Mytilus edulis: one gene and its partners. The protein of the gene in region 1 interacts with the protein of each later gene in a pairwise test. Links are inferred from orthologs where the notes say so. Each region holds a gene or a part of one and is shown in the gene's direction. Other genes may lie near its edges.

What was found.
Region 2: the proteins of GRIP and coiled-coil domain-containing protein 1-like (region 1) and ras-related protein Rab-6A interact in a two-hybrid assay, tested with the Drosophila melanogaster proteins (2 studies listed by BioGRID). The link is inferred for Mytilus edulis from reciprocal best matches to the Drosophila melanogaster genes GCC88 and Rab6.
Region 3: the proteins of GRIP and coiled-coil domain-containing protein 1-like (region 1) and ras-related protein Rab-39B-like interact in a two-hybrid assay, tested with the Drosophila melanogaster proteins (2 studies listed by BioGRID). The link is inferred for Mytilus edulis from reciprocal best matches to the Drosophila melanogaster genes GCC88 and Rab39.

What each region holds. Positions count from the first base shown.
Region 1 is NC_092346.1:43,249,294-43,252,893, forward strand, and holds the start of GRIP and coiled-coil domain-containing protein 1-like, read left to right. Parts: upstream 1-882; 5' UTR 883-984; intron 985-3,600. Other genes in the region: ESF1 homolog, read right to left, coding at 828-849.
Region 2 is NC_092346.1:48,057,805-48,061,648, reverse strand, and holds the start of ras-related protein Rab-6A, read left to right. Parts: upstream 1-1,056; 5' UTR 1,057-1,126; coding exon 1,127-1,223; intron 1,224-3,844. UniProt on the Drosophila melanogaster protein: Protein transport. Regulator of membrane traffic from the Golgi apparatus towards the endoplasmic reticulum (ER). Mediates membrane trafficking during egg chamber growth and organization, possibly upstream of exocyst component Sec5.
Region 3 is NC_092353.1:38,939,597-38,943,440, reverse strand, and holds the start of ras-related protein Rab-39B-like, read left to right. Parts: upstream 1-957; 5' UTR 958-1,063; coding exon 1,064-1,281; intron 1,282-2,632; coding exon 2,633-3,062; 3' UTR 3,063-3,844.

The sequences.
Region 1 (3,600 bases):
ACTCAGGTACACAGTTTAAAAACCAATTATTGTCAGGTATCTATTGTCCATCTAATGTCCATGTCAATTAAAAATGCTCACTTTAATTTTTACCTGTGGGGAAGTTCTCAAACCTGTTTCCCAACTTAGTTTATTTTGGCACCTTCTGGAGGAATGAAAAAAAGTGCACGGCAAGATCCTGGCAAGTTTTTATTTTTCCAAAACATAAAGCATACTTAAAATTCATTTATCTAGGGCATGTTATGCCTGAAATTTGTTACAGATGTGCAGGTTTATCTGTACTCAGAGTAAATTTTGAGGTAAAAATACGGCCATTTTAGCCATACTATGGCTATGGCCCATAGGGTCCACATGAACCTTTATGTGCATGCAGTAGTCTCTTGAATGAGTCAAGACTTTTTGCAGCGGACACCGAGTCAGGTAAGGTGTTCCAATCTCTGATCGTGTGTGGATAGATTGACCCTTTTCTGTTGCTGGTTTTGCAAGATGGTATTTCGAAAGAGTGAACGTTAGCATGGTTAGTGTGTCTTGATAGTGAGATCTGATAAGTTATGAATGCAAGTGTTTACTCAGAAGTGCGGTGGGTATTATGTTTGTCTAAAGCCTCAGTTTTTTCTATTGCTAGATCATTAATAAACACTGTATATATACAAAGTACAAGGAGACATACAATAAATTTTACAGTTTCTTCTTTCACGTGTTGTGTGTAATTTAAACCGGAAGTAATGTTCGGAATTTATTTGTTTACTTCCGCTTTTGTAAGAAACAGCTGTTTATTGAATATTTACATCCTTTGGAATAGTATTGTTTTGAATATCATTGCTCACTTTCGCAAGAACTAGGTTTCATATCAAATGTTACTGTCAAAAAAATCTTTTAAGCTGAAATAAAATAATGCCAACACACTTCCGGTAACGTTCGGACAGTTTTAGGAGTTTTCATCTAAAACTTTAAAATTAAAATCTGTCACCAGAAAAAGCTACGGTAAACCAAATATTGATACAGCATGGCTGTAAAACACTCACATTGAGAATAATGTACACTACTCATTGTTATGTCATAAAAAAAAAAAAACTGTTTTCAATGAACCTAACAACAACAAAAAAGGAAACTTTATTTTTTCTATGCACCGATGCAATGTAACGTATTATTCCAGCTTTCGGGTCGATCCGGCCCCACGTCGATCCGGCCCAAGTCGATCCGTCCCACGTCGATCCGGCCCCAATAAAAAAAAATTATTTCTAAGGAATAAAAATAAATATATATTAATTGTAATTCATAAATGTTTATTATTTTTATTATAATGTTAAAGGAGGGGGGATAGGAGGGGTCTTGATCCCGAAATCCCGGGCTTAAAAACACGAAATCCCGAGGTCCCGAATATAAATAAAGTTAAATCCCGGATCCCGAAATTTGAAAAAAAGAATTCCCGGATCCTGAAGGGGTAAATCCCGAAATCCCGAGCTTAAAAACACCCGATCCCGGAGTCCCGATAAAGGTCCTATCCCCCCTCTTAAAGGTGTACGGTAATAATAGTAAAAAAGGCCTTTGAAAAATATTTTCTTTAGATGAGTATAAAACAACTAGGTTGATTATGTCTTTATTACAAGTTTTCAAGATTATTGAGTATAATTATATTAATTAAAACAGTGAATTCAGACATCAACATTAATCAGCAGTAATTAGCATTTTCTTTCAATTGACTGTGATCCTAACAAGTCTTTCATCTTGTGTAACATATAATAACAAATAGTTACATACATGAACGGTATAAGCCGATCCCCAAGCTGATATATAAACTTTGTTTTTCTTTTTAAGTTCTTAAAATTTCTAAAATTGAGAAATGTTGTTTGATTTGCCGTATCCTTTCTATAAAAGAGTGCTGATATTATATTTTAGAGAGTGAAAACGTGCTTTCAATGTCATTGTTTTGTTGTTTTCTTGCAATAAAGAATAATGGATACTCATATGACTTTTTTTTTTTATCTACACACTATTCAAAATATTGTCAAAATAAGAAAAATATATTGACTATATCCGATGTTACAAAAAAAAGTGTTATAGAATAGAATATTTTTATATGTTATAGAAGCCTATGATGTAACCTGGAAAAAAATACAAATAATTACACCAACCAGAAGATCAAACTATAAAGACCTTGTTGAAAAACAGATTACGTAACTTTAATTAATCAGCATTGGATTGAATTAAGTGATTACGAGTGGCATTACCTTAGTTCACAATCATCAGACAACTGTTGAATAAACAAACCAATTATAGACTAATGATTTGATTAAATAAGTCATTATTATGCGATAAATTTTATAGGTCCATTGGACTGTAAATATTCATTTAGCTATTCTGTGTGTGAACTGAATAAAATAAAAATTGCCATGAAATTCAAAGTAAAAGTTATCATGGTAAATAACTTCATAATTTAAAAATGTAGAAACTGCGATACAAACAGACACAATAACACTAATTTTCGTATGGATTTAAAATAGTTCGTTAACTGGTACTCCAATACTTCACTGACCTGTTGTCATCCATCATCGATCGGACACTTTTTTCAAATTCCATTTATACTGTTAAAGTATGTGACAAATTCCTCCATAATCTAGTTAATTCATATTTTATTATGGGCCGGATCGACTTGGGGACGGATCGACGTGGGCCGGATCAACTTGGGCCGGATCGACTTTGGACCGGATTGACTTGGGGCCGGAACGACCGGATACCTTATTCCACTGCATGTTGATTTTGATAGCGGAATCAACATTTGATTGGTTAAAACTATCACATGTGACGTCGAACAAAACTTCATATTCCCCTCTGAACGTCGGGATTGCTTTGTGCGACGTTACCCATGTTACCCGTGGTTTATGTTTAAATAAAACATTTTGATACGTTTTGTTTTAAAAATTATTTCAAATCTTAAAAACAATTACAAAAGAATAAATAAATAATTAACTTTTAATCGGTACTGATTATTATAGGCCAAGTTCACCTGAAACTCTCGAGTTACTTTATTAACTCGGGTTTCAACAAAACCATTTTACTCAATCCACTCAAGTTAACCCCTTGTACCCTGGTTCCAACCCTCACCGAGCCAGGGTTAAACTTGAGAAACTCTTGAATGATGTCAAACCAATGAGAATAAGTGGCGTAGCATGCCCTGTTATAGTATACGTACTGAGGCAGGGGGACTGGGGGGCGCAGGCCCCCATAAGCTATACAGGTTTTACCATTTGAAAAACGAAAAAATCCCATCAAAGTTATAGTAGTTTTTACTTTATTCAACATAATAATGCTAAATATGTTCAAACAATATAAATTGAAAACCTAAGAGATATCAATCATGGTGCATGAAGAATGGTATCATTAATGTTATTTAACATTTGAAACTATAGACATGATGGACATGATAGATATCTGAAATAATTTTTTAATTTATATTATTTTCTATCTATCATAGAAAGTTTAAATCATTGAAAGACCATTCTTATATAATACTTCGTTTGCTTTGTATTTTATAAAGAATATCTACCAAGCTACATTATTTTAATGAGTGTAATTGAAAACATGATAAAACAAGGGGAG
Region 2 (3,844 bases), about 4.8 Mb from region 1:
TTCTTTGTGTCTCATATGTTCCGCTTGAATTTTATAAATTAAGACTGAGAACAAACCAAATAGTTTCTTACGAAATAATGACGTAAACACAACATATGTACATGTATGTCCATTATGTTTTTTTAAGTGCACCCAGTTGAACAAATAATTCAAATAAATAGATAGAACTGTTTGCTCAAATTAGTAAACTAGTTGATGTACCTCAGACTGGTGCCGCCGGCTTATGTCGGAACTTTTCGATATATTGATTTCAAAAAATTATTTTTGAAACTAGACCAAAAAATTACTTTCATGTTGAAACTTACGCATCCAGACTATTTTTCGTTATTTTACATTGATGAACTAACAGAAAAAATAATCAACAAAGGGAATGTTGAAGAAGACCGAATATGTTGTCGTTTAAAAATAAAAGCAACACTTTCCTTCAGAACGAAATATTTGACATTTCCGGTGTGAACACGCATGTCTGTAATTTATGAAGACTCGGAACGTGGCGAGTTGAAAGAAGACAGCTAAATAATAACGTACAGTCTCGACTCACACCTACAAATTAACTTTTATATTTCTACATAGGAATCAGATATCACAATGAGTTCCTCTGGGGAATTCGGGAACCCGCTGAGGAAGTTTAAATTAGTTTTTCTAGGTGAACAAAGTGGTAAGTTCCGATGACGAGGTAACGGAAGTGGTCGTGTTTACCTATTTGACTTCGTTGTGAACCAATCATGTCATGCACACATTGAGTCATCACTTGTAATAATAAATTATTTTTCATTTAATATTAATTTCCATACAATTGGCGACCTAACCGTTCACTGAAATTGTATTTGGAAAAGCAAATTGCATGCACTAGTTTTGTTTGGAATGTATTGACTAATGCAGACACACGACATAAATTCAAGATAATTAGATGAACAAATTGCAACTAATATTACTATAAGTGCTAGAAATAAAATTTCATCATAGGCAATCACCTGCCAGCATGGAGCTTATGATATAGCATATATTTTAGGACTATAGACCACATTTAATGACACATAAATTAACAATTACAAACAGGATATAACACAAGATAAAAGTTCTTAGACCTTTTAATCCATTTGAACATCCTTATTATTGTATTAAAATGAGTTTTGCTCAGAAAGCAATGGATATCTCTAACAATAATTATGTCAGGAGCTCGTTATTGAAGTTTAAGTTGGCTTTTCTTGGTGAAGCTGCAGGTAAGTTTAAATGAGCTATGGCCCAATACTCAATAGAAAATACTTTTCGCTATCTTGCCTTAAACTTATTTTTTGCAGCAAGACTTCTATTTTAAACACCCCCTTTTGTGTCCTTCTATGCTTATGTCAACAGAGGGGTTTGATAGATCTTTGCATTTTTGTGCATACCTTAAAGTTAAAGACTATTATTGTCATTCTAAAGCAGGTACAACATTGTTTAGATATAAGAAGATGTGGTATGAGTGCAAATGAGACAACTTGACTTCCAAGTCACATTTTATAAAAGTAAACCATTTAAGGGTAAAGTACAGCCTTCAACATGGAGCCTTGGCGCTCACCAAACAGCAAGCTACATGTACATGTACAATGAGCCCAAAAAATAACTAGTTTATAACCATTAAAATGGGAAAAACAATGGTCTAATCTATACAAAAAAACAAGAAAAACTTAAGAACCACATGAACAAACGACAACTACTGACAACTACTGAACATCAGATTCCTGACAACTTCAAAATGTAGGACAGGTGCAAACAAATGCAGCCAGTTTAAACAATTGTATTCTACATGTAGTCTGATTTCTCCCTCTGTTAAGACTTGCCATAAATTATTTCCTTACTTCATCAGTGGTCTCGTTAGCCCAAAATAGAAGGGCGCCGCGCCCTGTGTGCCCTCAGCCGCGCCCTTCTGCCCTGACGCCGTTTTCTGAAAAACCCTTGTGCCGTTTTGGTAAAATTGCCTTTTGTTTCATCGATTTCTTATCAGCAGTTAAATTACATATATGACACCTGGTGATTGCCCCCAGGTAACGAGGTTAATCATGTCATTACAATCAATTATTGTGGATAAGACTTCAAAGGTGTTAATTACTAGGTAATTTAATTAAGACAAATTAATGTACCTTTTTGTCATAAATATGATGAATGTGTCTGCATTTTCTTTTTGATCTCCAAGTCACAATCGAAGAGTGTATGAATGAAGACTTTCATGAATTTAGAATTGAATTGAAGTTATCAACTTTGCCTTCACAGAAACATCGTCCATCTCAACTTGTGAGCGACGAGCAGACGTAAACATGTTGGAAATTAATTTTGGAGTTACTTCCCCTGAAAAAGCTTATTACAAAATTGTGCTCCTAAAATATTATCTAGCACTAAAAATAGGAAAAAATAACCAATTGAATACAAAATTATATAAGAATGTTACCTTAAGGATACTAACTGTCTTTGAACATACAAAAAAAAATATATTGCAATTTATTTTTGATAATCATACATGTACTGTACTTTTGGCAATCCATGTTTTATACATTCTCAATTAAGAAATATGCATGAATTAATTGTTTGAATGGTGTCAAGCTATCAACTTACAAAAATGGAAGTGTGTAGTTAAACTCTCATCACAAATCAACATGATGAAGCTACACGAAATATTATATTCCTAAACACAAACAATAAAAAAAGTTTTGAGGGCCAAGCAATGAAAATTTTGAAATACAACTACTCTGTCATGTACATGTATGGTAAACTATGGTAAACTATGAGATGTTTAGTTTATGTTCTTTCTTTTTGGAAGGAGAGGGGGTGGGGAGAATAGTTAGTTTATTTTTCCTCTTTTGGTTAATAGTATGAATGTGTATTGCCATGTTACAAATGTATATGAACATGTAGTATGAATGACTTTTCTTATGCAAATTTTATAGAATAAATAATAACACCTACTTATGCATCTTTATTGACAATATATACAGTAAAAAAATATGTGAACTCGTGATACACGCAGGGACATAAACATTAGAAACAAGCAGTGCCTTCTATCATAAAAAAGTGCCCTGCCCTCCACTGGCACCCTGCACCTTTTGAATTCTAGCTGGAGCACTGTTCATGCTATTGCTTCCTACCCTAATTTGTCAGTATATTGTGGAAATGGAGGTATATTTTAGGCCTTAACTTTCTACATGTGTTTCCTGGGGAATACCAAAATATCTGATCTCTTAGTCTAAATGGTTTATGTCTCGTGTGTGATGCTTGATATGGGAGACTTACAAATGTAGAAATACTGGGTGTCTGTCCTGTTCTTGTTATTTGTGCTTATATATGTAATTCTTATTGGGTCAACCTTCACTTTAAACTTTTGAGTTCTCAAGCCCAAAGCTCAATTTTTTGAAAATTGTACATGTGTAGTTGGCTTGTAGAGAAGAATTTTACAAGCCTGAAAGCATTATTACAAGCCAATGCTGTAGAACTTGTGGTTAAGCTTAAGGTTCCACTAAAGTCAAAATATAGGACACTTAATAAACATCTAAACAATGCCTGTATTGTTCAACCTACATGTACATATATAATGAATAAAGTCCTAAACTAGGAAAACATATGTTCATTTAAACATACTTAACACATACTTAACACATACACACTGTGTAAATTGTAAATAAACTTGAAATTGTTATGTGGTGGCCAAACCCATTCTTGAGGTGAACACTAAATTTTCTAAAAAATCTGTGAGAAGACTTAATTTGTTTAAAATTGGTATGGATGACTTCTGTTATACATGTATCTAATGCATGGCAAGGTCATGTTGAATTTTCAGAAAATGTATTGATTTTCGAGTTTCAGTTAATTT
Region 3 (3,844 bases), on another chromosome or scaffold:
AAAGCACCCAGAATACAATTTTCATTTTTTTGAAATTTAGAAAACTAAAAAAAAAACATTTTTGCATGAAGCAATTTTCATTTAATTACTGAAACATCTCTAATTTAAAATTCTTATTGACCTAAATACATACTAAGGAAATAGAAACTCCAATAGCTGTTCAAGACAAAAATTAAACTATACTATAGCATATAGCAACTTGATCATAAAATTATGGAAATAACCTTAATACCATCCAACAATCATTCTCCCTCACTGTCATATAATGGCAGAAGTTCATTAATATTTTAAAATGTAATCCTAAATTAAGAAATTATAAAAATGGTTAGAAAAAAAGAATAGACCATTGATAGAAATCAAATGTCAACAAAAAAAAAACATTTTTAAGAAAATTTTGTTAGCCAATGATATTGAAAAATAATCTTATATTAGTGTTAAACACTACTTTATCAATTTATTCAGGTGTCAGAGTGGTCTGAAAACAGACATAAGAAAAATCTACATCTGTTGTGTATTTTTTTTTCTAAAAAGTACAATTTCAATACTTCTTAAATTTTATTATATATAAAATAAAGTAACGTGTTAAGAAATTCAAAATTGCAGTTCTGAAACTATCAGGTTTTGTTCAATTAAACTCTCTCTCTAATTTTATCATTACTTTAATTATTAATCTGATTTTATAAATAAATTAATCTTTCATTTTTATATTTTTATATATTTTACCTCAGACTAGTCACTACTAAATACAGTGATAGCAGTCTAAGAGTTTACATATTTACTAAAATTTCACTTGTTAACTGGTGATATAACAATAAAATCTATAATACAGTTCGAATTTTAAATAATTAGCTACTTTTAGTTTGACCCCAGTTGGAGCCTCAATTCCCTTCAATAAAAAGTAAGTTTTGATTGGTGTAATTTCCTCGAAGTAAACCAATCAAACATGATTTAACATCTGTCATTTAAAGAGAAACCGGAAGCTGATCAAAAAATGTAAACAAACCTTATCTTAATATAGAATGTTAACTTGATTCTGTTAAAGATAAGTAAATCGTAAGAAAATATGGTAGAGCCAATATTTGATTTTCAGTTCAGAGTTATTCTGATCGGTGACAGTACCGTTGGTAAATCGTCATTGTTGAAATACTTCACAGATGGAAAATTTTCAGACGCATGTGATCCAACTGTTGGGGTTGATTTTTATGCACGTCTGATTGAAGTAAATCCTGGTGTCAGGGTAAAACTACAGCTTTGGGACACAGCTGGACAGGAAAGATTTAGGTAATTTATCAATTAAGAGTAAGGAAAAAGGTAGTAGATTAGTGTTGCATAATGCGTAAATTAATGCAATAATTTATTCATCATGGCTGCACTGTGATGAAGTGCACATGGTCCATATGGATACTGCCATTGTTTTGATGTTGAATAACTGAATAATTATTTATTGGTTTATTTTTCTAAGAAAGAGAAAAGTAATCTTTCTAAATAATATATAAATTAACATATTTTTATAAATGTATTTTTTATAGAGTTGGCGCATAAATATATTGGGTTAGAATTAAAATACTGGCCATAATACATTAATTGACCCAAACACACTGCAGAAAGCATGTCGACAAAATGCTCTACAGAGCTAATGTCAGTAGTATTTCATGTAACCCGACTTAAAATAAATTTTCTTATATCTTATCTTAATTTAACTTAATACTAACTTGATATTTAACAATGATTAATTGTCAATGTACATGTCTATTCTCATAGATACACATGCTGTTGACAATTTTTACAGCCAATACAGGAGTAGTGGGCCCTCAGGACGTTGCTCTGTCAATCATCTTAATTGTTTTACTTTTGTAACACAATATAACAGCTTCTGAAATCTAAACACAACTTCTCAGATCATTAGGATTGTGTTATAATGTGACAGTGTAATGACCATACTGATAGTATTATTACTGTCATTTGGATTTTATAATTTTGTAAAGTCTGACTTATTGTGACAAATTTTAAATCTAGTAGTGCAATGACACCTTGTGAATGTAAATCCTTTGAACATGTTGAATACAATTACTCATTTAATGTTGAAAATAGGAAAAAAGGAAAGCAAAAATAAAATGTCGAAAATATACCTCAGTAAAATTTGACAAAGTAAGTTGCATTTGGCTTTAGTTCCACAACTTCAAACAACAGTGTCAGTGAAACTGCTCATGTTTTGTTTTTTTTTTGTCACAGAAAAGAACTGTTATATGTACATGTATATCATGTATATAGATACATTACTTGACAAAATACTTTGACTTAAATATAAATGATGAAAAATACATAAGAAACAAAACTTGACCTTGGTTTCAATTTGAATTTTTTAAATTGAAATAAAAAAATGTAAGATCCCCCTAAAAATCATTCATAAATTTTAAAGGGAATAAATTAAAGAATCCTTGCAATTGGTTCTAGTGTTGGCTATGACATTGTTTCCTAGTTAAACTAGTTTTCATTGGGGAATGTTAAATGTATTTAAAGGTCTTTAAAGAACATATATTTTTTTACCAATATGAAAAGAGGAAACAGTGTCAAATAAAAAACGTATATTATTATATACGATGTATGATGACATAATTTTGTTTACTTGCAGGTCCATTACAAGATCTTACTATAGGAATTCAGTGGGGATTTTAATTGTATTTGACATAACTAAAAGAAAAAGCTTTGAGAATATTACACAATGGTTAAAAGAGTCAAAAGATCAGACTGAACCACATAAAGGTGTATACTTAATTGTGGGTCACAAATCTGATAGAGATGAAGAACGACAAGTCACAACTAGAGAAGGTAAAATGTTTGCGGAAAGTAATGGACTGAAATATATCGAAACGTCTGCTAGAAATGGACAGAATGTGGAGGAAGCATTTCTTTTATTAGCCCGGGAAATACATAAATTGATACAAGATGACAAACTACATGTGGAAGACGGTTGGGATGGTGTAAAACATGGATTTTCTAGACCACCGAAAGAACCATTCCATGTTGTAGAGGGCGAACCAGAAGGGAGTGGATGCTGTTGATACAAATAATAAATAGGTGTAGAAAAGAAAACTTGATTTCTTTTAACCAATTGTTAAAAATAATGTAAAACTACAGCAATGTGATTGATAATTTCCTGCAGTCATTAAAGTCATAATGTGTAGTTTAAGTTCAATGTTGCTGTACATGCTGTATATGTACATATATCAACTCATATAAATTATTAAAATGAAAAAAAACAAGTTTAAGTGAACATGGTGAAACAATTAAATAAATCTTTTTAAATTAGCATTACATTTCATTTTTACTGAATTTTATTATTTAAGAAAAAAGAACAACATTTTCATCAGAAATTTTCAGGATTTTTGTCAACAAAAACATTATTTTTACATTTTTAGTCAAAAAAGTTAAAGACCATGAAAAAACTTTGAAAAAATGCACTTTAATGTACCTTGTCTGTGCTTTTATTAAATTTTAATTTCACACTTTACTTGCAGATAAAAGAAAAAATGTACTTTTTAGTCATCATGTTAATGTTGTTAATATTTTTTTTTAGAATATGTTATAAATCACTATCTTGTTAAGAAATATTCATTGTTTACATTTGTAAACTGCTTTTATCTAGATATCAAATATTGATTTAAATGTTCTGATTGTTGTTATATAAATCTTTTAATTAACCACTTGACCATAAATATAAATCATGTATCACATTAATCAGTATATTTTGCTGAATTTTATTATTTAAGTGCTGTTTTGTCTCAATATTTATCTATTCTTGAGAATTACATGTACTACACTATTTTACATATATTTTGGATAC